Xenopus tropicalis: one gene and its partners. The protein of the gene in region 1 binds, or shares a complex with, the protein of each later gene. Links are inferred from orthologs where the notes say so. Each region holds a gene or a part of one and is shown on either strand. Other genes may lie near its edges.

Region 1 (3,991 bases):
CAAGAGATTAAAGAATTTGGCCCATTTATAGAACAATGCTTAGAAAATAATTCTATTTTATCTTTTCAGTACATAGTAATGCAAAAGAGCATAATCTTATGCCAAAAAGTGCTGTTCAAGGTCTGTTGCGTTGCACATACTGTACCTCATCTGCCTAAAGACCCTCTTACGTGACATTTTCAGATTGTGTGTTGCGTGGCCATTTCTAAATTGTATATAAGAATACCCACAGTGAATGCATTATCCCTCTTTAAATTTATAAAGTATCTCGCTGCCAAATGCAACTCTAAATCACATTGCTGTGTAGGATGGTCTGTGTTGCCAAAAGGCTCAACTTTGGCTTGGGAGTGGTCTTCACACAATGGCAGGTGCACTTTAATCTTAGTGGCTCTTATTCTAAACCTGAATCAAACATGGAACAGTAACAATGTATTTGTATCTAAGGTTTATAATAAGTAGGGAAAGTATTAAGGGCTCGCTGAGAATAGGCTTGATAGTGTATAGATTTAAGGTATAGAGCTTTTCTTACATTGTCTATTTTGTATTTCAGTTCCAATTATATTCTTCTAGATGAACAGTCTCTTTGGATTGAGGACACCACCAAGCTTGTCCATCAGGTGTGTGTAACTATAGAGTATTACTGTTTTTATGAGTCATTTCCTACCTGAAAACCAGATGTGATTCATTTCTCTCCCATCATACAGCTGCTTTCTGAAACACCTCCAGTTGGGGAAAAGTTTTCTAAAACAGTGGAGGTAAGATTATAATTTCAGCCTTCTGATCTGGTGAATAGCTATACAGTATTATAACTGATCTAACGGAATCAGAAATGTTGTTTCAGCATATACTGAATACTGAAGAAAACTGGAACGCATGGAAAAACGAAGGCTGTCCAAGTTTTGTAAAGGAAAGGTAAGGCATTTTTTTTATTTTCCAACTTTTTATAAGTTTTTACAATACATGTAAACCATAATACTTACACGGCTTACTTTATCAGTATCTGCAAAGAGAAAAGTAAAACATTGTAACTTAACAAATAGAAATGTCACACACATAACTATAGTTATAGTATTGACACCAGAAATATTCTTCCATATTTTTTTGAGCTTCCTGTATGAATGTTCTTTCCTAAATATTTATTGGAATTGCCATTTCATATACTACATTACTGCTAATTTCTCTCATCAGCTGGGAAATGTTTGGAACCTCCTGTTTTTTCCAATTTCTAGCAATTAAAAGTCTGACTGTATTTGATAATTGAAAAATTACTATTTCCAGAGCTTTGTTAGGAATTTTGTCATAAATGTTAAATAGCACCACTTCCGGAGATAAAACAAAATCTTGTGAGATGAAATTCGATATTAGAGAAAATGCTGAAGTCCAGAGGGATTGGATAGTAGAACAGGACCACCATAATGCGCAACATTTCTCCTATTTCATTGTTACACCTCCGACAAGTTAATACTCTTTTAAAAAATCTTTACTCCAACCTTTTAAGACCCGTTTTCAGAATGGGTTCCAAAATAGAAATTGGTGCCAATGGAGAAGGAAAAGGAGAGTATAATGGATCAATTATGCTTTTTCTCAAATTTTGACTGCAACTTTCAATGTAGGAGGCAAATCTATGTAATTATTCTTAACACCTTTACCATCTGACCATAGTAGTTTATCCCATGAAAATAGTTTCAGAAGAGTAGTTTCAATTTCTACCCATTTTTTTTGTGACTGTATGGATAAATAAGTCTATAGTTTGTATATTGGCTTTGAAGTATTTCTTTAGATCTGGAGCTCCAAGACCTGCTTTATTTCTTTGAAGAATAGATTTGGATACGCTAGGATACTCTTTCTTATTCCAGATAAATTGGTAAAACACATTAGTAATCTTACAAAAAAAAACAAACTGGAGGGGATTGAAATAAGGATAGTACAAAACAAATATAGTAGTTTAGGTAACAACAGCATTTTTATAGCAGCAATTCTTCCCATCCAAGAAATAAATAAGGGCTTCTATGTAATTATTTAATCTTTAAAAGCTTGAATCAATGGCCCAATTTTTCTGGATGTTTTGTTAATTTTATACCCAGGTAAAATGTATAATCTTTCCGCCAGTGAAATTTAAACTGACGTTTTAATGGAGATTGATCTTTAAGTGGTATGTTAAACATCATAGCTTGAGATTTATTCTCATTTATTTTATAGTAAGAAATGTCTCCAAATTCTTGTAATATTTGTTTAAATTTGGATAATCTCTCTTTAGGATTAGATAGTACTATAATAATGTCATAGACATAGTGTATAAACCTATATGATGATTTTTAGAGCCGATTCGTATTGTATGTATTAAATCTATAAATGATTATCTTTAGAGACTTGTGAATTGTATGTATTAAATCTATAAATCTAGTATTATCAGTGGATTGCCTGCCTTTAATAAAACCCACTTGGTCACTATTCAAGACCTCAGTTAGAATATCTTGGAACCCATTTGAAAAAAATTTTGAATAAAATTTTAAATCACAGTTTAGTAAAGAAATTGGTCTCTTTGGTATCTTTGTTGGGTCTTTCCCCTCTTTTGGTCTATCCGTTATTGTAGCCTGTAGTATTTCATCCGGAAAATGGCCTCCTGATAGTATAGTATTAAACAATTCTGTTCATTTTAGGACTAGTAATTTTGCAAATAACTTGTAATATAATACTGGTAAACCATCTGGTCCAGGCTTTTTTTTTAAAGGAGAAGTTTTTATGGCATCTTCTACTTCTTGTTGAGAAATCGTGAATTCAAGATATTTATTTGATCTGCAGTTCAAATATCAGAAATTAATCTATGCTTTGAGGATTGGGTTGAATCATTGTATTATCCTCTTTTAAATTATAGGTAGGTAATATTGAGCAAACGCTTCTGCAATATCTAAGGGGTTAGATATAATTTTACCATTATCCCTCTTATTTTAGATTTAACTTTAGCTTTTGTGGGCACACCATTGAGTATTCATAGAAGTATCATTAGATGAATTAAGTTCAAAATATTCTTGTAGACATTTAGAATAAAACTCTCTTTTAAATTACTCAATAAAGCCTCATTTAGTCTTCATATACTTGTTGGAATATTTTTTGTGGGTTCATTAATATTTCTGAGCGTGATCTGACCACGTTATAGTACCTATGGCAGCTTTCTTTAAGCCTTGGAGCAGTATTTTATCTACGTAAAAAAAAATCATTTTTGAATACATATCGTGAGGATGAAAGTAAAATGTATAATCCCTAGTTTTAGGATTAAAAATCCTCCAAACATATAAATTATGATGGAGTTTAATCTTAGTGAAACCGGTAACTTTTTCTTTTATTCTACCCTTTGTAGATTTTTGAGGTTGGAATTTATTAGAAGTAGAGGTAGTATCTAAATTAAGATCTAATATTAAATTAAAATCTCCACCTATTACAGTAAACACACTTTTGTTTGGTAATTTTATTAAAAAGAGGGGTTAAGAAATTAATTTGGGATGAGATAGGGGCATAAAGATTGCATTATTCAGCTTACAAATCAAATACCTTCCCCCAGGGTCAGACTCTATGGGGCAGATTTATCAAAGTTTGATTTTCGTACCTTTAAAAAGCACGATACAAAAAAATTGTATTAAATACGATTTTTTCGTATTGTGCTTTTTAAAGTGCGAAAAAATCGTATATGCTTCATTGCACTATTAAGTGCTGTTAACTTCAGTGGAGTGCAAACTTTCTTTGACCTGCCCATTGCTGACAGGCTGAGGACACCCTCTAGATCAGTGCTGTCCAACTGGCGGCCCGCGACCCCCCTCTGTGTGGCCCCCCACCTGTCTGGCTGCTTTGATGGCTTACTCTTGTGTAAGCTTTAAATGGTATCAGTACTGAGATTAACTGCCCCCCCTGCATGGTTCCCACCTCAGATTCAGCCTGTAATCGGGCTGTATTGTTTAAATATGTAATCCCCTGTGTTGTTCACACCTGTTAAACC
Region 2 (3,991 bases), on another chromosome or scaffold:
GCTTAGCTCAATAATTATAAACAAATGAATTATTCTTGGAAAAAAAACTTTTATTCTATGACAATAAGCATTAGTAATAAATGGGCATAAGTCCAAGCAACAGTGGTGGCAGAGAAAATGCTGAAAGAGTTGGAACTCAGCGGTGACTAAAGAATCCTTGAGGGTAATTATACTTGAATGGCTTGGTACGACTCGGCCCCCTAAGACAGAAGGAAGGACAAAGAATAAAAATGTGTAGAACATGCAAAGTAGTCAGAAACAAAGCAAAGAAAAAGGCACCAATATAAAATTTAATAAAGGAATAACAAATAAAAACAATAAGGGGAAAAAATAAATGAATAAAAAAAAAACCTCAATGCATTTCTAAAGTCAGTTGTAGAGAATAACTAGCAAAAGGCAAAAAGGCAAAGGAATGTATATATAATGGGACATCCCTCACCTGAGTAGGCGCAGACAGATCTTTTCTGGAGGAAACTCATGAGGCCCTTCCACACTGTTGTCATGGCGTTCAGTTTCTAGGTAGACATCCAACAGCATGCAAAGCCTCTGAATTTGGTTTGTCAGCAGCTGGAATCCTGGAGGAGGGCCACACAGTTCCTTGAAGTAGACATTGACCTCACTCTCCATAACCTGCCAAAGTACAAATTATTTAAGGTGTTCATGAAATGTATGATCAAAATAGCTTGAAACAAACTAATTAATCTCAGACCTTACACTAATTTACTTTTTCATTTAAGAAAGCCTCACTAAATCATTAATCAGTGTATTAAATTTGAATTACCAAGGCATGTGACTGCATTATTTACCAGTGAACCTATGTCTAATATAACGTCTAACAATATAGTGTATGGACTCACTTCCTGAACCTATCAGAGCTAGGCTGCCTTTAATACAGCTGACATACTTAATCAAGAGGTTGTCGTTATGAAATCTAGAACAGCTAGCTGTGATTTCATTGTACTCTGATAATGGCCTTTATGTTTCCCCATGTTACTTATAGAAGAATTCTAATACTATTCTAAGACTATGTACTTAGCATATCTTTTTGTCCATGGTATTCCTCTGCCACTTCCTACCTCCCTTACACCTTTCCAAATGGTTATTAAGTTGAATTTCTGAAACTGTTTAAACTGTCTGTGGGTTGAAGCATACCCACAGGGGTGTAAAGCATAGTCAGGTCAAGCTGGGGGGTGCTTTAGCCTATAGCCTATGAAGATTTAAGTTATAGGAGCGAAGCTTCACAGTATTTTTGAGGTTTAGAATACAAACACTGAGAGGGCTGAAAACTCATGCATCGATAATAATTATAAAGTGTTTCCTTACCCTGATATTGTCATCATTACTGGATGAGCGTTCTCCTTTCCAGTTTAGGCAGAGGCTAAACACTGGAGGTACAGCACAATAACCAGGGTTCAGAACCACTACTCCATTGAGCTTAGCTATAGAGGATAACAAGCAAATGAAAAAAAGTGTTATATAAAAGACAATTGACTACTGGTTTATCTACAGCCGTTTTCACAGAAATTCTTGTTCCCCTTTGGAGCACAGATCTATGACTCGGGATACAAGTTTTTTCACCACTGCCTATGTACAGTGGAGGAAATAATTATTTGACCCCTCACTGATTTTGTAAGTTTGTCCAATGACAAAGAAATGAAAAGTCTCAGAACAGTATCATTTCAATGGTAGGTTTATTTTAACAGTGGCAGATAGCACATCAAAAGGAAAATCGAAAAAATAACTTTAAATAAAAGATAGCAACTGATTTGCATTTCATTGAGTGAAATAAGTTTTTGAACCCTCTAACAAAAAAAGACTTAATACTTAGTGGAAAAACCCTTGTTTGCAAGCACAGAGGTCAAACGTTTCTTGTAATTGATGACCAAGTTTGCGCACATTTTAGGAGGAATGTTGGTCCACTCCTCTTTGCAGATCATCTCTAAATCCCTAAGGTTTCGAGGCTGTCTCTGTGCAACTCTGAGCTTGAGCTCCCTCCATAGGTTTTCTATTGGATTAAGGTCCGGAGACTGACTAGGCCACTCCATGACCTTAATGTGCTTCTTCTTGAGCCACTCCTTTGTTGCCTTTGCTGTATGTTTTGGGTCATTGTCGTGCTGGAACACCCATCCACGACCCATTTTCAGTTTCCTGGCAGAGGGAAGGAGGTTGTCGTTCAGGATTTCACGATACATGGCTCCGTCCATTTTCCCGTTAATGCGAATAAGTTGTCCTGTGCCCTTAGCAGAAAAACACCCCCAAAGCAAAATGTTTCCACCCCCATGCTTGACGGTGGGGACGGTGTTTTGGGGGTCATAGGCAGCATTTTTCTTCCTCCAAACACAGCGAGTTGAGTTAATGCCAAAGAGCTCTATTTTGGTCTCATCAGACCACAGCACCTTCTCCCAGTCACTCACAGAATCATTCAGGTGTTCATTGGCAAACTTCAGACGGGCCTGCACATGTGCCTTCTTGAGCAGGGGGACCTTGCGAGCCCTGCAGGATTTTAATCCATTGCGGTGTAATGTGTTTCCAATGGTTTTCTTGGTGACTGTGGTCCCTGCTAATTTGAGGTCATTAACTAACTCCTCCCGTGTAGTTCTAGGATGCTTTTTCACCTTTCTCAGAATCATTGACACCCCACGAGGTGAGATCTTGCGTGGAGCCCCAGAGCGAGGTCGATTGATGGTCATTTTGTGCTCCTTCCATTTTCGAACAATCGCACCAACAGTTGTCACCTTCTCTCCCAGCTTCTTGCTAATGGTTTTGTAGCCCATTCCAGCCTTGTGCAGGTCTACAATTTTGTCTCTGACATCCTTGGACAGCTCTTTGGTCTTTCCCATGTTGGAGAGTTTGGAGTCTGCTTGATTGATTGATTCTGTGGACAGGTGTCTTTTATACAGGTGACTAGTTAAGACAGGTGTCCTTAATGAGGTTGACTAATTAAGTAGAAGTGTCTAACCACTCTGTGGGAGCCAGAACTCTTAATGGTTGGTAGGGGTTCAAAAACTTATTTCACTCAATGAAATGCAAATCAGTTGCTATCTTTTATTTAAAGTTATTTTTTCGATTTTCCTTTTGATGTGCTATCTGCCACTGTTAAAATAAACCTACCATTGAAATGATACTGTTCTGAGACTTTTCATTTCTTTGTCATTGGACAAACTTACAAAATCAGTGAGGGGTCAAATAATTATTTCCTCCACTGTACATGCTTTCATACAGCGCCTCTGAGTATTAAGATCATGCCACCATTTACTGCTGCATATTAATGTACATTTAGCATAAAACATCCCATTGATCAGCCCCATCATACCTGTTCCTCGCTCAATAAGCAGATAGAAATACTGATCCGTTTCCTTTGCTAGTCCACACTCTATAACATCTTTTGTATACGGCAGCGCCTGCAGTAGAAAATCCAGGTAACAATACTAATTATATCTATGTATGTACAATAGACAGAGTAATAGAGTAATAACAATCTATTGCTTTCATATACATTACTGCTTGGGGTTTCAGAAGGCAAACTCATATTAAATCATTTTTTTTAAAACTGCCCATATCTGTGCAGTTTAAAAGGGCCCAGTACTCTATATTTTTCTATACTGGCAGAAGCTGCAAAAAACGTAATGTATCAGAGAATCTAACTTTTAGTACCAGGTTCACCTCATATTTTTAGAGAACTTTATGGAGTAATTGCAATCCAATGCAAATCCCCAAAATGGCCATCTGCTCAAGAATCATGTCAGTTTATAAAGTGAAAAGATTTTACTCACTAGATAATCCTCATAGGTGATGACATTCCACTTTGTCAGTCGAGATATAACCTTGGCTGGGAAAAGAGTTTGGCACTCCAAAGATACAGGAATGCTACCATGTTCTGAAATACCAAAGAAATGCTGTCATTGGGATCTATTGCCTGTAAACACCTGCTGTGTACACTATTAAAGAAATCCTACATACACATCCAGTAAAATAATAGTTTTATACAATG
Region 3 (4,522 bases), on another chromosome or scaffold:
CTTGCGCTGCTTCTCTCATGTGGCTCCTTCTCCGGCGGTCCCTGGCCCTTTTATAAGGTTGCGCCCGTGCGTAATGACGTCACATGTACACACGGGGCGCAACCTTATAAAAGGGCCAGGGACCGCCGGCGAAGGAGCCACAGGAGAGAAGCAGCGCAAGGAGTCGGAGCGCGTATGGGGGCTCTGTGTTTGGGGGGCTCTGTGTATGGGGGGGCCTCTGTGTTTGGGGGGGCCTCTGTGTTTGGGGGGCTCTGTGTATGGGGGACTCTGTGTATGGGGGACTCTGTGTATGGGGGACCTCTGTGTATGGGGGGCCTCTGTGTATGGGGGGGCCTCTGTGTTTGGGGGGCTCTGTGTATGGGGGGCTCTGTGTTTGGGGGGCCTCTGTGTATGGGGGCCTCTGTGTATGGAGGGGCACTGTGTATGGGGGGCCTCTGTGTTTGGGGGGCCTCTGTGTATGGGGGGCACTGTGTATGTGGGGGCACTGTGTATGGGGGGCACTGTGTATGGAGGGGCTCTGTGTATAAAGGGTACTGTATATAAAGGGTACTGTGTATGGGGGGTACTGTATATGGGGAGGCTCTGTGTATGAAGGGCACTGTGTATGGGGGGCTCTGTGGGCTTCCTTAGGTAGTACAGTATGAGGGTATAGCACATTTGCATCTGATCCCACCATTTCAACTATATAAAAGGAGTATTTTTAGAAAAAAATGGGGTGTGTTAATTGGGGCGTGGTCACAAAAGTGGGCGTGGTCAAAAATTGCCCCTCTTTTTGTTTTTCAAATGTTGGGAGGTATGCATACATTATCTATGATACTGCCAATACCTGTCATACTTTCCATGTATAACCATACCGTGGGGACCTCACTTTAACCACCTTTTCTTAGACTAAGCACCCATTACTGAAATGGCTAGCTCGAAATAACGAGCTAGTTAAATCAGAATGAGCAGTGTTTGGAGACCTAGTAAATAGCGTGTCTCCAGCCACCTGGATCAATATAAATTCTAAATAGATAAAAAATGTATTGGGAGGAGAGATGTTTTCCCAAACATCTGTGGGGCCCCTTCCCTCCGTCAGCCTCCTGCCACCTATACACTGCCCGCAGCAAACAAAACTACCATGTAGTAGACCCACCGCTCCCGGTCCTCTTGTGCCCTGGGATCCACCGCAGCCGCAGGCGGATATTATACCATTAATAGTTCTGAAACTGCGTTGCTTATAAAATAATAATCTTTTTTTTTATAAAATAATATAATCTTTTGTCAGTGCTTATCGATACCAGAGTTTTTCCACTCTAGTTGAATTAAAACTTGCAAAACAACCAACAAAAGTAGGTTATGTATTTATTTAAATAGAAAGTAATGTTACACGGCACTACTACAGTTTATAAAAACGGGGGCTGCAACTTTTAATAAAACTTCCACATGATAAAAGTATCTTCTAAACCGGTTGTGTAATGACCCGGAAGTCGACTCTGTGTCGCCAAGGTAACGCGGAGCCGGAAGTCTGCTGTGGCCGTTGCTTCCGGTTAAGTACCATGTCTGTGCAGGAGATACAGGAGCATTTCAAAACCAATAATAAGACCCGAGAGTTCTCGGCGCACAGTGCAAAGGTTCATTCGGTGGCTTGGAGCTGTGATGGGAGGCGCCTGGCGTCGGGCTCCTTTGACAAGACTGCGAGCGTGTTTGTGCTGGAAAAGGACCGGCTGGTGAGTAATAGCGCCAGACAGAGACCCAGGCGTGTGTTGGGGTCGCTGTCGCATATATATGTATATATATATATATATATTTTTTTTTTTCTATCATTTCTATCCTATCTGCATACCGTTAAACTGCACTGGCACCCAGGTAGTATCTGAAACACAACCAGCACCAAGGGCCTTGTGGTTCAAACAAATATTGGTGTATTATAATTGCATGTACAACTGACGTTTCGGTCCCTTTTGGGACCTTTTTCAAGGTACCGAAACGTTGGTTGTACATGCAATTATAATACACTAATACTTGTTTGAACCACAAGACCCTTGGTGCTGGTTGTGTTTGATTTGGTGTCTATTTGGTATTCCGTGCCCAGGGGCAGCTACATTGTAGCAACTTTCGGAGTGTGGTGCTGTCGTGTTGACTTGTATGTATGTATGTATATAAAAAAGATGCTAGTAAGCAGCACACCATTAGTTAAAAGTTGATACCTGGGTGCCTGTGCGCAAAAACAATATACAGGCTCGGATGACGGCACACACAGGATTTGCACATAGAAGTCACTGGGTCAAATGAAAATTAATTGCATCAGAGGTTTATTAATTCCAACATTTCAGCTCCCTGACGAAAGCTCCTGTGTGGAGCTGAAACGTTGGAATTAATAAACCTCTGATGCAATTAATTTTCATTTGACCCAGTGACTTCTATGTGCAAATCCTGTGTATGTATGTAATTATATATATATATATATATATATATATATATATATATATATATATACACACACACACACCCCTTTCTGTGGTGCTGCTCAGCATTGAGGTGGGCTGCCAGCCCAGTACATTCCCACGTTCAGCTTCTGGGGTTTCTTTTGCATCATAATCAAAGCTTTAATAACTTCTCAGTCTGCTTTAATCTGAAGTTGAGAGACAGTGAGTAGCATATACCTACATTTACTTTACTCAGTGTCCCCCGCACCCACAGGGAAGTGCTGTCACTGTATGCAAGGGGTGTATATGCTATCTCTGTCCCTTAGTTACTTTTCTCTAGGTACTGAGTTACCTTTCCTCCCCACTACAAACACATACCAGCAGATTAGGAAGGACTGTATTTTTTCCCAGAAAAGGTGGCAGCCCTACAGCAGATTAGACCATAGTGTATGTAAATGTGATAGGGATTTTTAGATTGTTAGCTCCACTGGGGACAGGGACTGACATAAATTTGATTTAATCAAGGGTAATGGAATATGTTGACATTATATAAATAGAAATAAAAAAATCCCAAATTACTAAAAGGTTGCACACTGTCAAATCACTTTTATTAAGGGTGAAGATCCTCTGCCCAAGACGTCTGTGTAGGCCTGCAGAATGAACAGATCGTTGCCCAACCCAAGTCAACATTCTAATCACCCTCATTTGGCCTAGTGTGGGGTCAGGCTATTAGGCTGAGATTTACTCATTTAGCTTTCTGATGAAATGAGCAAATTGTTTAGCCAGCTTTACATGTACTTAGACCCTTATGTCTCTAATAACAGTCACCTGATTACAGAGCAACAAAATCTCAAAATATTTTATCTGTGCCTCTTTTTCAAGTTTTTAGTTCTAAATTCTGTGCATTTCCATGGCATCTGTGGTTGTGTTGCCATTTGTGCATGTTAAAAGCAAGGAAAGTGTTTCTTACCGGCTTATTCCCACTAACAGATTATATTGAGCTGAACCTAATCGCTAAGTTATATTATGTAAAAAGTGCCTCCCTGACTTACATTCACTTCTTTTGTTGCGTGGTCTGTATCGCTAAGCCACGCCGCCATGTTTTTCTGAATTACATGATGGATTATGAGTTCTGCAGTGTCTCTGTGCATGCGCCAACATAATCTGTCCCCTTTACCCTGCATGTTGCTGACTCATTCTTGCTCACGCTGACCAATCCTGCTGCTGACTTGAAAGTGATACTGACACGAAAAAACAACTTTTTCAAATCTAAATCTACATAAAAAGTTGGCTATAGGTTGTGTTGATCATTTTTTGCTGATAGGGCTGCTTTTGTAAGTAATTGTTACTTGAAATCCCAAAACCTGACTGTTTTGCCAGCCTGACTGTCCCTTCTCAGCCTGTCAGTTACAGCTTCTAATGCTAACGGCCTCCTGCTGGACAAATATGGCAGCCCCCTCATAGAGGAACATGGGGGATCAGATAGGGAATGTAAAAGCATTGGGCAAATACTTTTATGGCAAAATTATAAATAGCATGCAAAGACAATGTTATGACAGATGTAAAAATGGTTTCATTTCTGGTGTCAGTATCTCTTTAAGGCGCATGCTCCGGTCTTGGTCTCAGACCCTACAGAATTATGGGTAATTTGAAAGGAGAACTCAGCCTTTTTTTTTTTTCCCCAGTGCACTGCTGCAGGCAAAGGACTCCGCTCAAGGTGACTTTGTCAAATCGCGCCACCGTGTATGCCATCCCACCAGTGGTTTACATTCTAGCTGGTGGAATGGCATTTTGGGGAGATCCTCGTGTGTCACAGCCCTTAGGGCTGAACTGGATGCACAAACAATGCCACATATAATGGAGAATAGAGACAATAAGGAACTTGAGTAGGCACATCAGGACTACTATCTATTGGACTACTCACATTGCATTTCTACTTTCATTCTGATTGTGTTTATTTTATTTTTAGACCAAAGAAAATAACTACCGTGGGCATGGGGACAGTGTAGACCAACTCTGCTGGCATCCTTACAATCCAGACTTATTTGTCACTGCATCTGGAGATAAAACAATACGCATATGGGATGTTAGAAATGAAAAATGCATCTCCACTA
Region 4 (3,492 bases), on another chromosome or scaffold:
GGAACTATAGTGGGGTGACTGTTACCCCAATGTTTCTATATATCTGTAACCTTGTTATGGGCTAAGGGGGCCCAGCCTGAAGTTCAGTTAGGGGGGGATTTGGGGTGAGTGCTTATTTGTGCCCTGGGTACCCCTGGAACTATAGCGGGGTGACTGTTACCCCAATGTTTCTATATATCTGTAACCTTGTTATGGGCTAAGGGGGCCCAGCCTGAAGGCCAGTTAGGGGGGGATTTGGGGTGCTTATTTGTGCCCTGGGTACCCCTGGAACTATAGCAGGGTGACTGTTACCCCAATGTTTCTATATATCTGTAACCTTGTTATGGGCTAAGGGGGCCCAGCCTGAAGGCCAGTTAGGGGGGGATTTGGGGTGAGTGCTTGTGCCCTGGGTACCCCTGGAACTATAGCGGGGTGACTGTTACCCCAATGTTTCTATATATCTGTAACCTTGTTATGGGCTAAGGGGGCCCAGCCTGAAGGCCAGTTAGGGGGGGATTTGGGGTGAGTGGGTATTTGTGCCCTGGGTACCCCTGGAACTATAGCGGGGTGACTGTTACCCCAATGTTTCTATATATCTGTAACCTTGTTATGGGCTAAGGGGGCCCAGCCTGAAGGCCAGTTAGGGGGGGATTTGGGGTGAGTGCTTATTTGTGCCCTGGGTACCCCTGGAACTATAGCGGGGTGACTGTTACCCCAATGTTTCTATATATCTGTAACCTTGTTATGGGCTAAGGGGGCCCAGCCTGAAGGCCAGTTAGGGGGATGTATAACTATGCTGAACACTAGTATCCTGTTGGCATCTGAACCTCACAGACTGAGGGCATGAAGTATATAAACACCAGGTTGGAAGATACAGTTGATTGTAGCTGAGGAGAGGCCCATGGTGAGGCAGGGGTACACCCAGGCATTACTAAGCGCCTGAGTAGCAAGCAGACAGAAGCAGTAGATGAGTGAGGGGAGAGGCAGAACTACATAAGACACCATTATTAATACACAACTTTTTTTGCAGGTACAAGTGTAACGATCCGCCACGGTTCACCCAACCAACCCAGACGGGTTCCGGGCCATTTGGGCTAGTATGCCAGAGTAACTGTAAAGTAATAAATATATTATATGAAGCTTTTGCCTCAGTGAGATACCAGGCTGATACAGTATCTGATGGTATCCCATGGCCTCTGTGTTGGCTGATCCTCTGATTAATACTAAGTGAGGCCTGACCTACATAGGCTCAGCGGAATCGTATAGATGCCTCCTTGTGTCCTGTTACAGTGAGTGGGGTGCCTTACACTGCCCCCCTCTATTGCTTGGCAATAGGGACTCCGGTGCTTGGACTGGAGGCTGTGTAACATTCTAGCACCAAAGCCTCCGTCCCTCGGCCAAACGGCCAGGAACATGACTGTGTAGGGTGGTGCTGTGGTGGCACCGCTATATCTCTGATTGGAAGAAACTGCCTCTATAGAGGCTGCTCATTGGCTCTCGGGCTTCTGTCTATGGATGTAGCTTATGTTACTGAATTTCCCTGCCTAACACTGTCCCTTTCTCTCGCTAGAGCCTAAAGCAGCGTCTCGGTAAGAGCAATATCCAGGCCAGGCTGGGAAGGCCGGTGGGAGGTCTCGTACGCGGAGCCATAGGGATGAGAGGAGCAGGAATGGGACTACGAGGCGCACAGAGAGGGATGATGCGTATTGGCCGCGGGGGGAGAGGAATGGCCAGGGGAGCCATGGCTATGAGGGGTTAGTTCTGGATTCCCTGCACCCTAACACTGCCGGGTTATGGAACGTGTAATCCTAACTTGTATCTTCTCCTTCAGGGCAGAACCTCCGAGGCCGAGGTGGAGTAGCCAGAATGGGTCTGAGGAGAGGGATGCGGGGCCGCGGGGGTCCCGGGAGGGGAATGATGAGAGGGGCTATGGGCCGAGGCGGTATGAGTGCAAGAGGTAAGTGACGTGATCCTGTACCTGTGTAGTACATCAACCTTAGGGCCTGGCGGTACCAGATAGATAATCTCCTTAGTATATAGCCCCTGGGTATCTGTGTGTCCCAGTCATCTGTATTGATAGATGTGTTGGGATACTCTCCTTAGTATATAGCCCCTGGGTATCTGTGTGTCCCAGTCATCTGTATTGATAGATGTGTTGGGATACTCTCCTTAGTATATAGCCCTGGGGGGGTCTGTGTGTCAGTCATTGGTATTGATAGATATTTTGGGATACTCTCCTTAGTATATAGCCCTGGGGTATCTGTGTGTCCCAGTCATATGTGTTGGGATACTCTCCTTAGTATATAACCCTGGGGTGTCTGTGGCCAATGATCAGTAGGCAGGACTGGTTGCACCTGAGATCCTTACTAAACTTTACCCCCACCTCCTGGCTGTGTGCCTTAAGTGGTAGCCCCTTACTGAGCCTCTTTCCCTCTGCGCAGGACGCGGGGGCATGACCAGAGGGAGGGGCTTTGTGCGCGGCAGAGGACGAGGGAGAGGAAGGGGCGTGGCCCGCCCAGCGATAACCAAGGAGCAGCTGGATAACCAATTGGACGCGTACATGTCAAAGACCAAGGGGCACCTGGATGCCGAGCTGGACGCCTACATGGCACAGGCAGACCCCGAGTCCAACGACTGAGCCGCCGAATGTTTTTATATATTTCTAAGGAACAGACTCTTACCAGCACGCGCACGACTGTGCCACGCCTCCTTTTGGTACCGCCCCCTGGTTTTAGCGTTCCTTTTACATTTTTCATACCTATTTGTTCTTTTGACTCTATTTTATTAACCATTGAATGTACGGAGGCGAGCGACAGGTTGGCACACTAAGTTCCCGCGGCCCCGTGCCGCCCCTTGGGTTCGATTGCCGTCAGTTTGTGCAAAGTTTACGTTGCCCCTCGGTATGCTGCTGCACTTGGATACCACTCATAAAGTTTTGTGCGTTTTGTAAAAACTTGTTTTCTGTGGGTTTGTATTGTGTGGTGCTGTTCCGGCCATTGTCGGGGTGCCTTTATTTATAAGGGGGCTGTATTCAGGATCGGACTGGGGGTGCAGGGCTTACAGAGGAGCAACGGGGCTTTATTCAGGGTCGGACTGGGGGTGCAGGGCTTTCAGAGGTGCAACAGGGCTTTATTCATGGTCGGACTGGGGGTGCAGGGCTTACAGAGGTGCAACAGGGCTTTATTCAGGGTCGGACTGGGGGTGCAGGGCTTACAGAGGAACAACGGGGCTTTATTCAGGGTCGGACTGGGGGTGCAGGGCTTTCAGAGGTGCAACAGGGCTTTATTCATGGTCGGACTGGGGGTGCAGGGCTTACAGAGGTGCAACAGGGCTTTATTCAGGGTCGGACTGGGGGTGCAGGGCTTACAGAGGAACAACGGGGCTTTATTCAGGGTCGGACTGGGGGTGCAGGGCTTTCAGAGGTGCAACGGGGCTTTATTCAGGGTCAGACTGGGGGTGCAAGGCTTACAGAGGTGCAACGGGGCTTTATTCAGGGTCGGACTGGGGGTGCAG
Region 5 (4,592 bases), on another chromosome or scaffold:
TTTGTGTGCCCAGGCACTTGCAGCAACCCAGACTCAACTGCCAAATGAGCACTTGACACAAGTTTTTTTTTGCACACAGCACTGTGCCATGCAATCTAAAATAAACCCTATTGTTTAATAAAATTCAGATGGGAGCAGGCTGGATTATCATACCAACCCTTTAAAAAGCCAGGGTATCTTATGTTTTTAATATGGATGTTTAAATAAAAATGCAAATTTTTTTCTTTTAATTTTTGTGTGAAGTTTGGGATCCGTATGGATTCTGCTGTTTGGCTTGTTCTTTAAATCTGGGGGCTGTGTCCTATCTACTTTGGCTCTTTTTGACTGGCTGTTGAGGATCCTTCTTTTTGAATTAGTATTAATTATTTAACCCACGAACCAAGCAGCACACAGAGCAACACTGGAACTAAAAAAATATTTTTACCCATAGTAAACTGTTAAAGTTATTCCATGAACTTTTTTGTGATCTAATGACAGTGTGTTAATAAAAAGGTATCAAATACACTCTTAAATGTCCTTGTCTATAACCATACATTATTGTTGTCCATTGAAATGAAAGCAGGGAAACAATTACTGCTAATGAATCTCTCAGATGTTTACATAATTCAGTGGAGCTAATAGTGCAAGGCTGGATGAGACGCTCAATAAGAACTACAGACCCTTATTATGGGACGCCACCGGGAATTCTTGAGTGTATGTGGTGCTGGGGAATGGGCTTGATGCATGCAGTTTCTATGCATACAATATAGTTTGTTTAAAGAAGCAGAAGAGTCTGTGAGAAGCCGCACAAAGGCATGTGATGGTACAACCAAACATGTTTTGAACGCAGTATTTTATTACCCATCAGGTGCCATAGATGGCAAGTAACCCCATGTCATGAGAGAGATAATAACCCAATTAAGGATTTATTTTTTAAAAAAAAAAACCTAATTCCTCTTTTATCTCAATGGCAACGTAAAATAAGGTGTCAAAAATCCATGATCGCCGTCACGCACAGACAGGCACGTTCAGCATACACCCCTCTAGCTTCTGAACTGCCACCGGTCAAGCACCGCCTTTACACAACACAGTATAACCACCCTGCATAATAATAAATAATGCTTAACCCTCTCACCTGTAGTTAGACCACCGCCTGTCACCGGTAGCCAGGAAACACAAAGCACTTCCGGGAGGAAGCTGTAAGAGGGTGGTGCTCAAGTTGCGTTTCTATCTCCTATCCCCAACTAAGATGGCAGATATACGGAAGTGAGCTTTCTCCTGACTTCCGACCTCCAATAACATGGCAGTAGTTACCCAAAGCGTCACTCAGTCTGCTGCATAAATAGACCCGGTGATTGGCTGAAAGATTGTTCACAGCTCTAAAGCGGATTGGTCCAAACTGACCCAACCTCTGCAGTGGCGGCTTGACCCCGTAAAGGCCAAAGGTCTCTCCTCTCACTTATAGGGCTGTATTGTTTAATTTCTTTTGGAAGGACGAGGTTCTGCTTTCTGGAAGGCGGCAGAGAGCTCACAGGAAGTTGATAAATAGAAATTTGTTGGTTACTTCCACCTCTGTCGATCCAAATTGCCGCGCGTATTTTTCCACTGACGTCAACTGGGCGACGAACCAATCCGCGTGTCGCACCTGAGTTGTGCTGCGCAAGGCAAGTTGGCGATTGAAAGATGGCGGAAACTGTGGAGCTTCACAAGCTGAAGGTATTCCACGCAGGGAGTGGGTTCTTTCTATCGGGGCCTCGTGTTATAACTGGAAATCGTTTTGTGGCACTGCACCTTTTATATGAATAGCGCAGGGTTCTTCTATCCGTATAGGTTCTGTCTACATCCAGTGTTTGTAATGGCTTTCCGCAGGCAGTGCTGGTAGTTGGACTTCAGCATTGGGTTAAATGAATCTATTGATATAAAATCCCTGTAATAGAATCCTGTCAACTTATTTGTGGCCTAGTGATTCCATGGCAGTGCTAGATGCTGCTAATTGCTCTGATTTATTTCTCGTTTGTAACCCAGCCCACCCAGCTCACCCAGCTAGATTCTTTGGGTTTTTTTAGGAAATGTGCCCATTCTAGTTTGTTTTCTGGAATTTTAAAACAAAAATAATTGTATTTTGTGAATTACAGAAATAATTGTAACTTTGTGAGATCAATTCAAACCAATGGGTACATCTGTGTGTTTCAACAGAACTTTTTTCCCTCAGGATATTCACCGATTCTCTACATGTGTCAAGTGTTATTGAGTTTCTTTATCATTAGAGGAGAACTTAATTTATAATTGCTGGGGGTGCAAAACTGTTAGGCACCCCGGCCCGTTGTTCCTGTTAACTAGAAACTGCGCCAGCCCAGGGTAGGATCATATTTGCCACAATAATCTTCTGTCTTCTTTTCTCGGGCCTAGGCAGGTACATGTGCAGTTGAGTGGGAAAACAGTCTTTTTGTGTATAAGTTCTGCACATGCACCTGCCTGGACCAGAACCAAGAGAAGACAGAGGAAGCCGAAGTAGATGAAGAGTTCACACCATAGGAATAAGTGCAGGTATATGGAGCGGAGTGGAGGTTGACCTGAAAAATGGGAAAGCAGGCAGAAATTTGTACTTTTCGGTGCAGATACAAGGAGTTGCATAAGAGAGCAGATCCACTTTTCTCAACCTAAAGAAAAAATGCTGATTGAGCAGCACTAACAATACAAATCTGATTACATTTTCTGCAATCCTGGCTTGGATTCCTGACATTATTAAAATAATTTAAGTTCATGTATATTGGAAAGTTGCTTTATTGCGCAGAAAGTGTTTAAGTGGAAGAACCCTTTAAACTAAACTAATCTTGTTAAGGCTAAAACAACTAACTTTAAAACTGCTAAAGTGGCCCAAGAAATGACTGAAATGATTATCTACCATAGGATTACGGGCAAACACTGTCAACAGTTCTGGAATCATGCCTATAAATCCAGCTTTTTAGTGGTGATGCAAGATTTATCTGGGATTTATTTAAGTAGCACCACAAATATACAGTGCTTTTTAAGGGGGAAACCTAAACAGGGGTACAGTTATTATAAATTAAACGGCATAAATACCTACTAACACTTTACAGATTATTGTATCTGAATTTACAAAAATAGCTAAGACAGAGTGCGCAAGAAATTACTTGCGCTTATGCTTGTAACTTCATATGACTATAATATTGTATTTTGCATGGTTGTATTCGAAACAAGGCCAGCTTTATTTGCAGTTATGGTGAGGTAACAGAGGACCTATCGCCCTCATACATGCCTCCTATGTACTTCACTAAGAGAGGCACTAAATTGCTACAGAACAGTTGCCCATAGCAACCAATCAGGGTTTTGCTTTCATTATTTCACTAGTAGTAGTAGACTGGTCAAAACTAATGTTGATTGGTTGCTTGTAAAATTTAGCACTTATGTTAGTGAGCCCTAGTTTTGTTTTACTCACACTTTAAAGTACTTTCAGAATGTATTCTCAGAATATTAGGGAAAAATGTATTACAACCCTTTCTTAGATTGTACATACTGTAATCCAGAAGCACTCTGGAGTCGTTCTCTCTACTAATGAGAATTTCACCAATTTTATTTCTTGCAACAACATATTGAATTCTTGGCACAAGTATAATTGTTCCTGGAAAGTTAGTTTATGCAATAATTTCTTTCCCTTTTTTTTTTTTTTTTTTTTTTTTTTTTTTTTTTTAGTTGGCTGAACTAAAGCAGGAGTGCCTTGCTCGTGGCTTAGAGGTGAAGGGGAACAAGAGCGATCTTATCAGCCGTCTGCAAGCCTATATAGAGGAACATGGTTCGGAAGAACTTCTGTTAAATTGTTTGTTTTTTTTTTTGTTTTTTTTTAAATATGTTTGTTTTTAATGGCATTTATATGGCATAAGCACACTAACAAACTCTGTGGGGCCTATCTTTTTCCTCCTCTGTAATTTTCATCTAACCATGCTTCAGGGACATAAGATTATGTCTCTAAACTAAACTGTTATTCATGATTTAAATTAGACGGAATGCTTTGTTTGTAGTTCAGGAGTATTATGCAATACCTCTGCAGAGAAATGTGAAGTCTACACATATAGTTTACACCTTTTGCAGAAGCCAGGGACTGGCTTCCAACAGGAATATCCAGATATATATATGCAATTAAAAATTGAAGCTAAGAAAGTATAAGTGAACCATAATTATCATATTTATTTACATAGATTGCTTCAATAGTGTCACAAACTATATTTTTAAAATGACTTTTTTTGTAAGAGGCTAAAAACAGTAACCATAATTCACATAGAAGGACATATCATTTATGTTTTCTTGTGATTTTGGATTGTGGATTTTTTTTCTAGATTGCAATCATGCAATCTAGAAATGATGAAAAATGTCCAAAAGCAAAAACTAAATAGACAAATGTAAAGACATTTAGAGGACACAAAGTAAAATAACTATGGGTTGCCAAGTTAGTCACCCCCTTGTAATTCTAGTTGCTTACCTGTTAGCTGGTGCACCAGATGTCCCCTTCAATTTGGGCAGGTGCAGTACATTTCTGGTCACTGTGTGGGGTGCCCTCCATACCTCCAAGTTATTGCTGCACTGATATGCATGTT
Region 6 (4,517 bases), on another chromosome or scaffold:
GGGGAGTACTAGTGCTAGTGTAAGTAATGGGGAGTACTAGTGCTAGTGTAAGTAATGGGGAGTACTAGTGCTAGTGTAAGTAATGGGGAGTACTAGTGCTAGTCTAAGTAATGGGGAGTACTAGTGCTAGTGTAAGTAATGGGGAGTACTAGTGCTTGTGTAAGTAATGGGGAGTACTAGTGCTAGTCTAAGTAATGGGGAGTACTAGTGCTAGTGTAAGTAATGGGGAGTACTAGTGCTAGTCTAAGTAATGGGGAGTACTAGTGCTAGTGTAAGTATTGGGGAGTACTAGTGCTAGTGTAAGTAATGGGGAGTACTAGTGCTAGTGTAAGTAATGGGGAGTACTAGTGCTAGTGTAAGTAATGGGGAGTACTAGTGCTAGTGTAAGTAATGGGGAGTACTAGTGCTAGTGTAAGTAATGGGGAGTACTAGTGCTAGTGTAAGTAATGGGGAGTACTAGTGCTAGTGTAAGTAATGGGGAGTACTAGTGCTAGTGTAAGTAATGGGGAGTACTAGTGCTAGTGTAAGTAATGGGGAGTACTAGTGCTAGTCTAAGTAATGGGGAGTACTAGTGCTAGTGTAAGTAATGGGGAGTACTAGTGCTAGTGTAAGTAATGGGGAGTACTAGTGCTAGTCTAAGTAATGGGGAGTACTAGTGCTAGTGTAAGTAATGGGGAGTACTAGTGCTAGTGTAAGTAATGGGGAGTACTAGTGCTAGTGTAAGTAATGGGGAGTACTAGTGCTAGTCTAAGTAATGGGGAGTACTAGTGCTAGTGTAAGTAATGGGGAGTACTAGTGCTAGTCTAAGTAATGGGGAGTACTAGTGCTAGTGTAAGTAATGGGGAGTACTAGTGCTAGTGTAAGTAATGGGGAGTACTAGTGCTAGTGTAAGTAATGGGGAGTACTAGTGCTAGTCTAAGTAATGGGGAGTACTAGTGCTAGTGTAAGTAATGGGGAGTACTAGTGCTAGTGTAAGTAATGGGGAGTACTAGTGCTAGTCTAAGTAATGGGGAGTACTAGTGCTAGTGTAAGTAATGGGGAGTACTAGTGCTAGTGTAAGTAATGGGGAGTACTAGTGCTAGTGTAAGTAATGGGGAGTACTAGTGCTAGTGTAAGTAATGGGGAGTACTAGTGCTAGTGTAAGTAATGGGGAGTACTAGTGCTAGTGTAAGTAATGGGGAGTACTAGTGCTAGTGTAAGTAATGGGGAGTACTAGTGCTAGTGTAAGTAATGGGGAGTACTAGAGCTAGTAATGGAGTGCCAGTACTGGTATAATGGCAGCAGGTCCCAGGGCAGCACGGATTGCAGTGCAGTTATGTAGAAATATAAATACTCGGGGCAATAATCATGTCAGGAATGAGGAAAGGGAATGGGGCTGTGACTCCCAGCTGAGTGGCACTTACCTGCGGGGCCCGGGGAGGCCTGCCTGGGGCTGTGTGTCCGGCTGTGGGCAGGAGGCGCTGGGCCGCCCGACACTGGGGGGAGCTTATAGGGAAGGCGAGGCGGTGACCGAGGCCTCCATGCTCCTGCCTGTCTCTCCGGCTGCTGCCGCCGCTGCTGCATTCTGGGAGTCTGACCTCACTGCTACTCGCCGCCACCGCCATGGGAGCCGTCACCGACGGTAAGTACAGCGCCCTCCTACCCCACCGCCTACACCCTCCGGCTCGGCCTCAGCTCTGCCTGCCCGGGTACCGACCGCGGGAAACCCACACCGGCCGGCTAGGCCGCAAAGCCCCGGGCTCGAGTTAGGGCTCTGGGGGAAGGAGAGCGGTACGGACTTCCGGCCCTACTCCCCGCTCAGCGTATCTTATATGGATAATATTATATATATATTTATGTAGTGCTACTTAGTCTCATATGGATAGTATATATATCGCTGCTGTATCTATCCTAGGGACAATATATATTTATACCGCCACTGTTATTCTGTATGAATGGATGTACTCTGTCTCTATCTTATGGGTATGATATATATATATAGTAATCTAATCAGATAATCTGTCTATATCCTAATGTACATGTACCGCTGTGTATATATCCTATGGATACTTTTATGTATACAGAGATTTCACCTACTCACTTTTTCACTGTTACTGGTGACTTAATGGGTCTCATTGACTGTTAGCTACACACACAGGGCACTCAAGTAGGGTTTTTATAAAGTTGCCTGGCATAAATTGTAGACAGACTGCTATATATTTTATATTATTTTGTATCAATAAACCAGTCACCATTGCCCAAGGTGCTAGGGACAATTTACAGCCACTATTATTTTGTATGAATTATATTTATGTACCTTTACTCTGTCTCTATCTTATAAATATGATAAATGTAGTAATCTAATCAGATAAGCTGTCTATATCACAATATAATATACATGTGCTGCTGTCAATAAATCCTATGGATACTTTAATGTATGTATACAGAGATTTCACCTACTCACTTTTCACTGTTACTGGTGACTTAAAATGGGGGTCTCATTTGCTGGCAGCTACACACAGGGCACTCAGGTGGGATTATTTTCTATTGTTGCCTTGCATAAATTGCAGATAGACTGCTATATATTGGCACAGGATATATGATATGACCATGTATCATTTTGTATCAAAAACCAGTGACCATTGCCCAAGGTAGTTTGTTTGGCCAGATAATCATAATAATATGTGAATCTGTGTATTTCTATATAATGATCAGCACCCTCACAAGTCTTTTTAATTTCATTTAGAGCTCATGTTATGATCAGTTTAGTCAGCCTTTCAGCCATGGTTTATAGCCCTCAAGATTCTGAAATTTTATGTCAGACTGAACACCACACAGTTCTTTTTATAAGATGTCAGTCTTATAAGGGAGATCAGTGATACTGTCAGGCATTTTTAAGACCACGTTCCACTTTACAAGAAATGGTAATATGGAATATTGTTTTTCCAGGCCACTCATGGGAAATATCATTATCTCCCTGATAGTATGGGGTTAAGTCTATTAAATATACCTGTTGGGTACCCTGCACCCTCTTGGTCTGCTATCTCTGTTGTTAGGTTTACCTTTGCCTCCTTAACTAAATGGTGATCAGCTTTCCATCTGCAAGAGTCCTCCATTAGATTTCACAGGCTGGCCAAACCACATATCCACACTTATTCATGAAATTTAGATATGTTTGATTTTTGCAGATGCAATGTTTCTAAGCAAAATTACTTTGACAATTCCTTTGAATTAAGTCCAGGTAACTTGGTACTTGGCACCAGTATGGCGCACATATACTGCCACCTGGGATGTCTCTCTCTGTGGATCTAGAATTCTTGGAGATGCTAGGCAGGGTATCCAAATCTATCCTGTTCTGTTACTGTATAACTGCTTGATGGTAACCTTCTCTTACACAGTGACCTGTCTTTGTGCAGCAGCAATAAAATCCACTATTTCCATTTCCTTCTGTTCTTTTCCAGATGAAGTTATCCGCAAAAGACTTTTGATTGATGGAGATGGTGCCGGAGACGACCGAAGAATTAACTTATTGGTAAAGAGTTTTCTGAAATGGTGCAACTCGGGTTCCCAAGAAGAAGGGTAAGAGGCACCAAGTGACTGTGGCAGTAGTTCCACAATGTTATTTTTATTAGCAGAACTGAAGCTTCAACCAGTTTCTAATCATGTCTGGGAAAAGTATGATTCCAAAATTATTGCTTGGTAAAATTCTTTGTGGAGATTTCATAATTATGGAAAATTCATTTTCCCTCTGGAAGAGAAAGCAGCAGAAAATATGTATAAATGTAAGGCCATCATTGCTGAGTAATCTGTGCTGAAACAGTCCAACAGGAAGGGCAGAATCCAGGTTACTCTGAAAGGAGATTTTGAACCCCATGCTTACCAAAGATTGCTATTGGTTTTTTTTAATTTTACTTCAGTGTCAACTGGGTTGCAAATGTGTTTATAAGATAACTGCTAAGTTGGAAACCAGATGTATATATGAAACTGAATGTTTATGGGACCACTAAAGCCATACTAAAACTCTACTGAAAGGTATGATAAGTGGAAAGGCTGCTGTCACTTTGCCACTTCCCAGCGCAATGAGGTAGCTCAGTGGATTGCAGATGGGTTGCCAAGTTTAACTAATTACATCTCTTGGTGACAAGGAAGGACGAAAACAGTTCTAATGTCCCCTAGGAAAGCACTAAAGTGAGTCTTGCTGGGCAGCCAGAAAAGGGTAGGGTTGTATTTGTCTTTTTTTGCTTCAGGTAAACATAAAGGTCTGGACTATTCAACTGAAAGCCCGTGGGTTAAATATGACCTGCTACATGGTCAAGAGCTCCATAGGCCACATCTGATGGCATCATTGTGAAATGAGATTGTATGCTATGGGCCAGTTAACAGCATGCAAGTGACAGGTCTGTTAATCACGTAACATACAAGGGATTGTGGGAATTGGAGAGGACAGCTGAATACTGCTACACTGTTTTAATAATATTTGTAGTTGGGAAAAGGACAGAAATTACTTCCAATAGCAATTAGATATACTGTTCAAATAA
Region 7 (4,490 bases), on another chromosome or scaffold:
GCTGTGTACCTTACCTACAGTATGTGTTAATATAGTACTTTGTTTAAAAATAGTCTGGTATTTTCTCAAGTTTCAATTCCTGTTCATCCTGCGAGCTGGACATGGCCCTCATGGGCTCCAAAGGCTGCTGGGCAAATGTTGAATGCCATTGTTTTATAATGGGAACGTGAATAAACACAAAACAATGGTACATTGGGCTTTTGCCTCTGATTCTTTTAGGATAGAAACTCAAATCATATATTTAAGATCAGTCAATGATTTCCATGTAATGGATCAGTTAGCTTGATATTCATGGGAGACATCACATAAACATAAAGGATACCTTTCATGATGATATGATGTCTCCTATGAATATTGAGCTAACTGGTCCATTACATGGAAATCATTGACTGATCTTAAATATATGATTTGAGTTTCTATCCTAAAAGAATCAGAGGCAAAACCCCAACGTGCTATTGTTTTGTGTATTATTAAACAACGGTATTCAACATTTTCAGCAGAGTAGGATGAATTATTACATTTAGAAGAAAATTATATCATAAAAATAAGTCTGTGGAATCCCTGAGCAGGCTGGGTGTCATTAACCACTAGGGCAGGGGTCCCCAAAATTTTGGACAAATGAGCCACATTTAAATGTAAGAGATGGGGAGCAACACTAGCATTCAAAAAGTTCCCAGGATTGCCAGATAAGAGCTGTGATTGGCTATTTGATAGCCCCTATATGGACTGGCAGCCTACAGTAGGCTCTGTTTGGCAGTACACCTGGTTTTTACCCAACCAAAACTTGTCTCCACACCAGGAATTTAAAAATAAGCACCTGCTTTGAGGCCACTGAGAGCAACATTTAAGGCAGGGGTGGCCAAAATGGCATTCGCGGTCCACCAGTCGATCCCCCATGGATTTCTGGTGGACCGTGTCTAAGATGTTAAATGCGGAAGTGCGGTGCGTTTATTGGGTATGCGTATGTACGCTGCGTTGCGTACGTACGGGGGGAGGAGCCAAAGTATATCGCTGGGGGGGAAAGCCTGGGCACTAAGGTGTGGGGGAGCCACTGTTTGGGGATCACAGTACTAGGGCACATTAGGCGCATCAGCAACTAGTGGCCCTCCAGATGTGGATAAGCTAAAAATCCTATTACCCTCAGACCCAGAGCAAAGAAAGGTATAAACACTGCTTTTAATAGCAATTACATTTACACTCAACTTTAAAACCAATGGAAATGTTTAATGAATGCATATTGGAAAGCCACTTGGAATTACATTTCTTTAAAACATTTTATTATAAAACAAAAAAATTATGTGGAGTTCCACTTTAAGAAAAAAAAAAAAAGTAGCAGTAAGGCAGCCACACCGGTCCTAGGGCCCGCCCCTGGGTTTGTGAGAAACAACAGTCACCGACACGTTAGAGACAGTTATATGTAGCCGGTAACGCTGAAGCCTCAGTGCAAACTATACAGACACAGGGACGCGTTTGCTTCCCCGATACTGAGCGAAGCGAAAGCACCAGCTCATTCCTTATTGTAAGAGAGAAGCGCCGGGACTCACCTCCCACTACCCAGCATGCTTTGCGGCGCCAGCTTCCCACTTTGACCTGCGCTGCTAAACATCCGGGCTATCGGGACTGTACAGGGAAAGATGGCGGCCACGTTACTACCCGCTGATTGGATAAAGAACTGGGAAAAATCCGGAAAAAATGACTTGTAAGTAATGGAAATATGTTTTAGTGCGATGACAGAGCGGGAGGTGAAAGGCGGCCGTGGATGGGGGAACCGAGCCCTAGGATACCCGCCTTTTCCCGAGCAAGGGGAGGCCGCCAGGCTTTAAGGGCAGGCGGCGGCTCCCGCTACTCACTGCTATAGAATGGTGCAAGTTATAGTTCATTGGGAGCCAGAGGTTCGAGATCCCTCCATGCACTATGGCTGCGGGATTGGCCCCTCCGTGAGTCAGGGCCCCGACAGGCAATCAGTTAGGCAAGGGCACGTGTTAATTGGCTTCACTGCAAGGCCATCCTGCTGTTAATGGGAAAGGCGGTCCTCCTGCTGCTAGCTGTGCACACAGGCTGGGGGCTGCGCTTAGAACCCTAAGGCTGGGGGCTGCGCTTAGAACCCTAAGGCTGGGGGCTGCGCTTAGAACCCTAAGGCTGGGGGCTGCGCTTAGAACCCTAAGGCTGGGGGCTGCGCTTAGAACCCTAAGGCTGGGGGCTGCGCTTAGAACCCTAAGGCTGGGGGCTGCGCTTAGAACCCTAAGGCTGGGGGCTGCGCTTAGAACCCTAAGGCTGGGGGCTGCGCTTAGAACCCTAAGGCTGGGGGCTGCGCTTAGAACCCTAAGGCTGGGGGCTGCGCTTAGAACCCTAAGGCTGGGGGCTGCGCTTAGAACCCTAAGGCTGGGGGCTGCGCTTAGAACCCTAAGGCTGGGGGCTGCGCTTAGAACCCTAAGGCTGGGGGCTGCGCTTAGAACCCTAAGGCTGGGGGCTGCGCTTAGAACCCTAAGGCTGGGGGCTGCGCTTAGAACCCTAAGGCTGGGGGCTGCGCTTAGAACCCTAAGGCTGGGGGCTGCGCTTAGAACCCTAAGGCTGGGGGCTGCGCTTAGAACCCTAAGGCTGGGGGCTGCGCTTAGAACCCTAAGGCTGGGGGCTGCGCTTAGAACCCTAAGGCTGGGGGCTGCGCTTAGAACCCTAAGGCTGGGGGCTGCGCTTAGAACCCTAAGGCTGGGGGCTGCGCTTAGAACCCTAAGGCTGGGGGCTGCGCTTAGAACCCTAAGGCTGGGGGCTGCGCTTAGAACCCTAAGGCTGGGGGCTGCGCTTAGAACCCTAAGGCTGGGGGCTGCGCTTAGAACCCTAAGGCTGGGGGCTGCGCTGAGAACCCTAAGGCTGGGCGCTGCGCTGAGAACCCTTAGGCTGGGCGCTGCGCTGAGAACCCTTAGGCTGGGCGCTGCGCTGAGAACCCTTAGGCTGGGCGCTGCGCTGAGAACCCTTAGGCTGGGCGCTGCGCTGAGAACCCTTAGGCTGGGCGCTGCGCTGAGAACCCTTAGGCTGGGCGCTGCGCTGAGAACCCTTAGGCTGGGCGCTGCGCTGAGAACCCTTAGGCTGGGCGCTGCGCTGAGAACCCTTAGGCTGGGCGCTGCGCTGAGAACCCTTAGGCTGGGCGCTGCGCTGAGAACCCTTAGGCTGGGCGCTGCGCTGAGAACCCTTAGGCTGGGCGCTGCGCTGAGAACCCTTAAGAGACATGGTATCCATAGTGTAGGCATCTGCCTGCCCCAGTTTTCATGGTCTCCCTCTCAACAGAAATGGCCAATGGAAATATTGGTATTTTTCTCTGCACTGATTGTATGAAATACATTATGTGGTGTCTTATTTGCTTCTTGTTTAGATGAGCTCTCTGTCAGTATACACATTGTCTCACCCCTTTAGATTGTATGCTCTTAAGATCCAGTTTTTATTCTATAATCTTTGTTACACAATTGTAAGTTATACATTGTTAGGCACAGGGTGCACCACTGGTGCTATATAAGTAAATTATTCTACTGAGTTAGTATAGTAACGTTTGTTGACCCCCTCAACCCCTACTCTCTTGGACTTGGTGTGTTTGATCTTTCCCTGCAAATATCTTCATTACCTATAGAAGTAGTATCAACACTTGTCATGATCACGTGTCATTCCTTCGGTTAGAGTATTGTGAAATCAGGTTTTTTTCCTGCACCGCTGCGTGATTACTTACCTGCACTGTCATTCTACATCCTAAAATGAACCCGCTAAGGCCTTTATCCTGGAGCTGCTCAGGGTGCAGATGTTGGACAGTACTGCAAGAAAATTAAGCAGTAAATTGAGCAGGGATAACATAGGCTTTCTGAACACATTTTACTGCTGTATCCTACAGATGGCCAGTGTTACCAAGCAGATCCGGCCTGCAGTCTCTATGAGCGTTTCTCTTTGGTGACAATGACTTGTGGGTCTTAATTAAAGCAGAAAAGTATGTGGCTTACCCAGTAGCATTGCAATATTTAACATGACATGATGGAGACAATGCAGGGGTTCTTTTAAAGGACATAACCAGTTAGGGAATTAATATTTAGGTGACTTATTTCACCTTTATTTACTTAGTAAATCTAAGCAGGCATTCATAACCTTTGGGGCACTTGTGGTTACTGTTTCTTTAATATCATGAACATTAATTTATTCCTCTTTGTCAATGCCAACAGTGCCCTTGTAAAACAAATAATCCGAAGCCAAAGCCCAGGGTAGTGGTTTTGTTTATCACCATGGCACATTAAGGGGTGCCTAGTAAACTAGTGCTCACCCCACTGTTTTAAGCTTTCTTTATCCTTTAATGCTTTCTTGGCATTGTTAGAACTCAGAAGGTTTTATTTCCTTAAAGGGGAAATGTAGTTGGTATAAGCATGTATCCAAGTTTTAGTGGATACATAATTATTTTTTTACAAATAGGCTTTATTATTGTGATTTTGTTTTATACTTTTATATAGTTATATAAAAGG

Evidence for each region.
Region 2: the proteins of thoc1 (region 1) and thoc5 are in contact, whole or in part, in a cryo-EM structure (PDB 7APK), measured with the Homo sapiens proteins. The link is inferred for Xenopus tropicalis from reciprocal best matches to the Homo sapiens genes THOC1 and THOC5. Residues at the interface, in NP_005122.2 of Homo sapiens: Glu60, Arg145, Arg146, Leu147, Ser148, Ser150, Gln151, Lys285, Met286, Leu289, Val296, Tyr297, Phe298, Leu302, Ser304, Leu307, Leu310, Gln311, Ser313, Asp314; in NP_001002877.1 of Homo sapiens: Tyr52, Arg113, Lys120, Asp124, His127, Leu128, Gln131, Asn132, Leu134, Tyr135, Glu136, Met138, His139, Thr145, Lys146, Glu149.
Region 3: thoc1 (region 1) and thoc3 share a complex: the UniProt entries of both Homo sapiens proteins name them as parts of the transcription/export (TREX) complex. The link is inferred for Xenopus tropicalis from reciprocal best matches to the Homo sapiens genes THOC1 and THOC3.
Region 4: thoc1 (region 1) and chtop share a complex: the UniProt entries of both Homo sapiens proteins name them as parts of the transcription/export (TREX) complex. The link is inferred for Xenopus tropicalis from reciprocal best matches to the Homo sapiens genes THOC1 and CHTOP.
Region 5: thoc1 (region 1) and sarnp share a complex: the UniProt entries of both Homo sapiens proteins name them as parts of the transcription/export (TREX) complex. The link is inferred for Xenopus tropicalis from reciprocal best matches to the Homo sapiens genes THOC1 and SARNP.
Region 6: the proteins of thoc1 (region 1) and thoc7 are in contact, whole or in part, in a cryo-EM structure (PDB 7APK), measured with the Homo sapiens proteins. The link is inferred for Xenopus tropicalis from reciprocal best matches to the Homo sapiens genes THOC1 and THOC7. Residues at the interface, in NP_005122.2 of Homo sapiens: Leu10, Arg14, Glu46, Gln53, Arg56, Glu60, Ile63, Ile64, Asp99, Asp102, Cys103, Leu104, Pro105, Arg146, Gln151; in NP_079351.2 of Homo sapiens: Tyr47, Gln51, Leu54, Ser55, Ser58, Gln59, Phe62, Gly65, Lys66, Leu69, Val70, Met73, Arg76, Glu77, Asn80, Ile84, Ile88.
Region 7: the proteins of thoc1 (region 1) and thoc2 are in contact, whole or in part, in a cryo-EM structure (PDB 7ZNL), measured with the Homo sapiens proteins. The link is inferred for Xenopus tropicalis from reciprocal best matches to the Homo sapiens genes THOC1 and THOC2. Residues at the interface, in NP_005122.2 of Homo sapiens: Asn134, Arg138, Asn141, Leu144, Arg145, Lys149, Thr153, Cys156, Gly157, Gln160, Leu161, Ala164, Arg165, Phe167, Gln242, Phe245, Arg246, Tyr297, Ala299, Lys300, Phe301, Arg319, His320, Leu323, Gln324, Ile327, Tyr331, Arg373, Phe374, Lys376; in NP_001075019.1 of Homo sapiens: Leu155, Phe156, Tyr157, Lys158, Gln160, Asn163, Leu164, Leu165, Arg166, Asn169, Glu170, Ala173, Lys174, Ile176, Ala177, Gly180, Gln181, Asn195, Lys197, Ser198, Leu199, Ile200, Gly201, Cys202, Phe203, Asn204, Leu205, Pro207, Asn208, Arg209.

What each region holds. Positions count from the first base shown.
Region 1 is NC_030682.2:108,273,276-108,277,266, forward strand, and holds part of thoc1 (THO complex subunit 1), read left to right. Parts: intron 1-550; coding exon 551-617; intron 618-704; coding exon 705-755; intron 756-841; coding exon 842-912; intron 913-3,991. UniProt on the Homo sapiens protein: Component of the THO subcomplex of the TREX complex which is thought to couple mRNA transcription, processing and nuclear export, and which specifically associates with spliced mRNA and not with unspliced pre-mRNA.
Region 2 is NC_030677.2:144,833,540-144,837,530, reverse strand, and holds the end of thoc5 (THO complex subunit 5 homolog), read right to left. Parts: intron 3,878-3,991; coding exon 3,774-3,877; intron 3,402-3,773; coding exon 3,314-3,401; intron 1,440-3,313; coding exon 1,324-1,439; intron 631-1,323; coding exon 440-630; intron 201-439; coding exon 137-200; 3' UTR 30-136; downstream 1-29. UniProt on the Homo sapiens protein: Component of the THO subcomplex of the TREX complex which is thought to couple mRNA transcription, processing and nuclear export, and which specifically associates with spliced mRNA and not with unspliced pre-mRNA.
Region 3 is NC_030679.2:45,416,688-45,421,209, reverse strand, and holds the start of thoc3 (THO complex subunit 3), read left to right. Parts: upstream 1-1,442; 5' UTR 1,443-1,457; coding exon 1,458-1,709; intron 1,710-4,377; coding exon 4,378-4,522. UniProt on the Homo sapiens protein: Component of the THO subcomplex of the TREX complex which is thought to couple mRNA transcription, processing and nuclear export, and which specifically associates with spliced mRNA and not with unspliced pre-mRNA.
Region 4 is NC_030684.2:144,114,999-144,118,490, forward strand, and holds the end of chtop (chromatin target of PRMT1 protein), read left to right. Parts: intron 1-1,549; coding exon 1,550-1,733; intron 1,734-1,810; coding exon 1,811-1,936; intron 1,937-2,420; coding exon 2,421-2,617; 3' UTR 2,618-2,932; downstream 2,933-3,492. UniProt on the Homo sapiens protein: Plays an important role in the ligand-dependent activation of estrogen receptor target genes. May play a role in the silencing of fetal globin genes.
Region 5 is NC_030678.2:138,209,470-138,214,061, reverse strand, and holds the start of sarnp (SAP domain-containing ribonucleoprotein), read left to right. Parts: upstream 1-1,377; 5' UTR 1,378-1,662; coding exon 1,663-1,695; intron 1,696-3,693; coding exon 3,694-3,793; coding exon of another isoform or gene 3,794-3,817; intron 3,818-4,592. UniProt on the Homo sapiens protein: Binds both single-stranded and double-stranded DNA with higher affinity for the single-stranded form. Specifically binds to scaffold/matrix attachment region DNA. Also binds single-stranded RNA. Enhances RNA unwinding activity of DDX39A.
Region 6 is NC_030680.2:145,033,142-145,037,658, forward strand, and holds the start of thoc7 (THO complex subunit 7 homolog), read left to right. Parts: upstream 1-1,563; 5' UTR 1,564-1,602; coding exon 1,603-1,621; exon of another isoform or gene 1,622-1,780; intron 1,781-3,440; coding exon 3,441-3,558; intron 3,559-4,517. Other genes in the region: atxn7 (ataxin-7), read right to left, coding at 1,404-1,563. UniProt on the Homo sapiens protein: Component of the THO subcomplex of the TREX complex which is thought to couple mRNA transcription, processing and nuclear export, and which specifically associates with spliced mRNA and not with unspliced pre-mRNA.
Region 7 is NC_030684.2:48,870,017-48,874,506, reverse strand, and holds the start of thoc2 (THO complex subunit 2), read left to right. Parts: upstream 1-1,377; 5' UTR 1,378-1,634; coding exon 1,635-1,699; intron 1,700-4,490. UniProt on the Homo sapiens protein: Component of the THO subcomplex of the TREX complex which is thought to couple mRNA transcription, processing and nuclear export, and which specifically associates with spliced mRNA and not with unspliced pre-mRNA.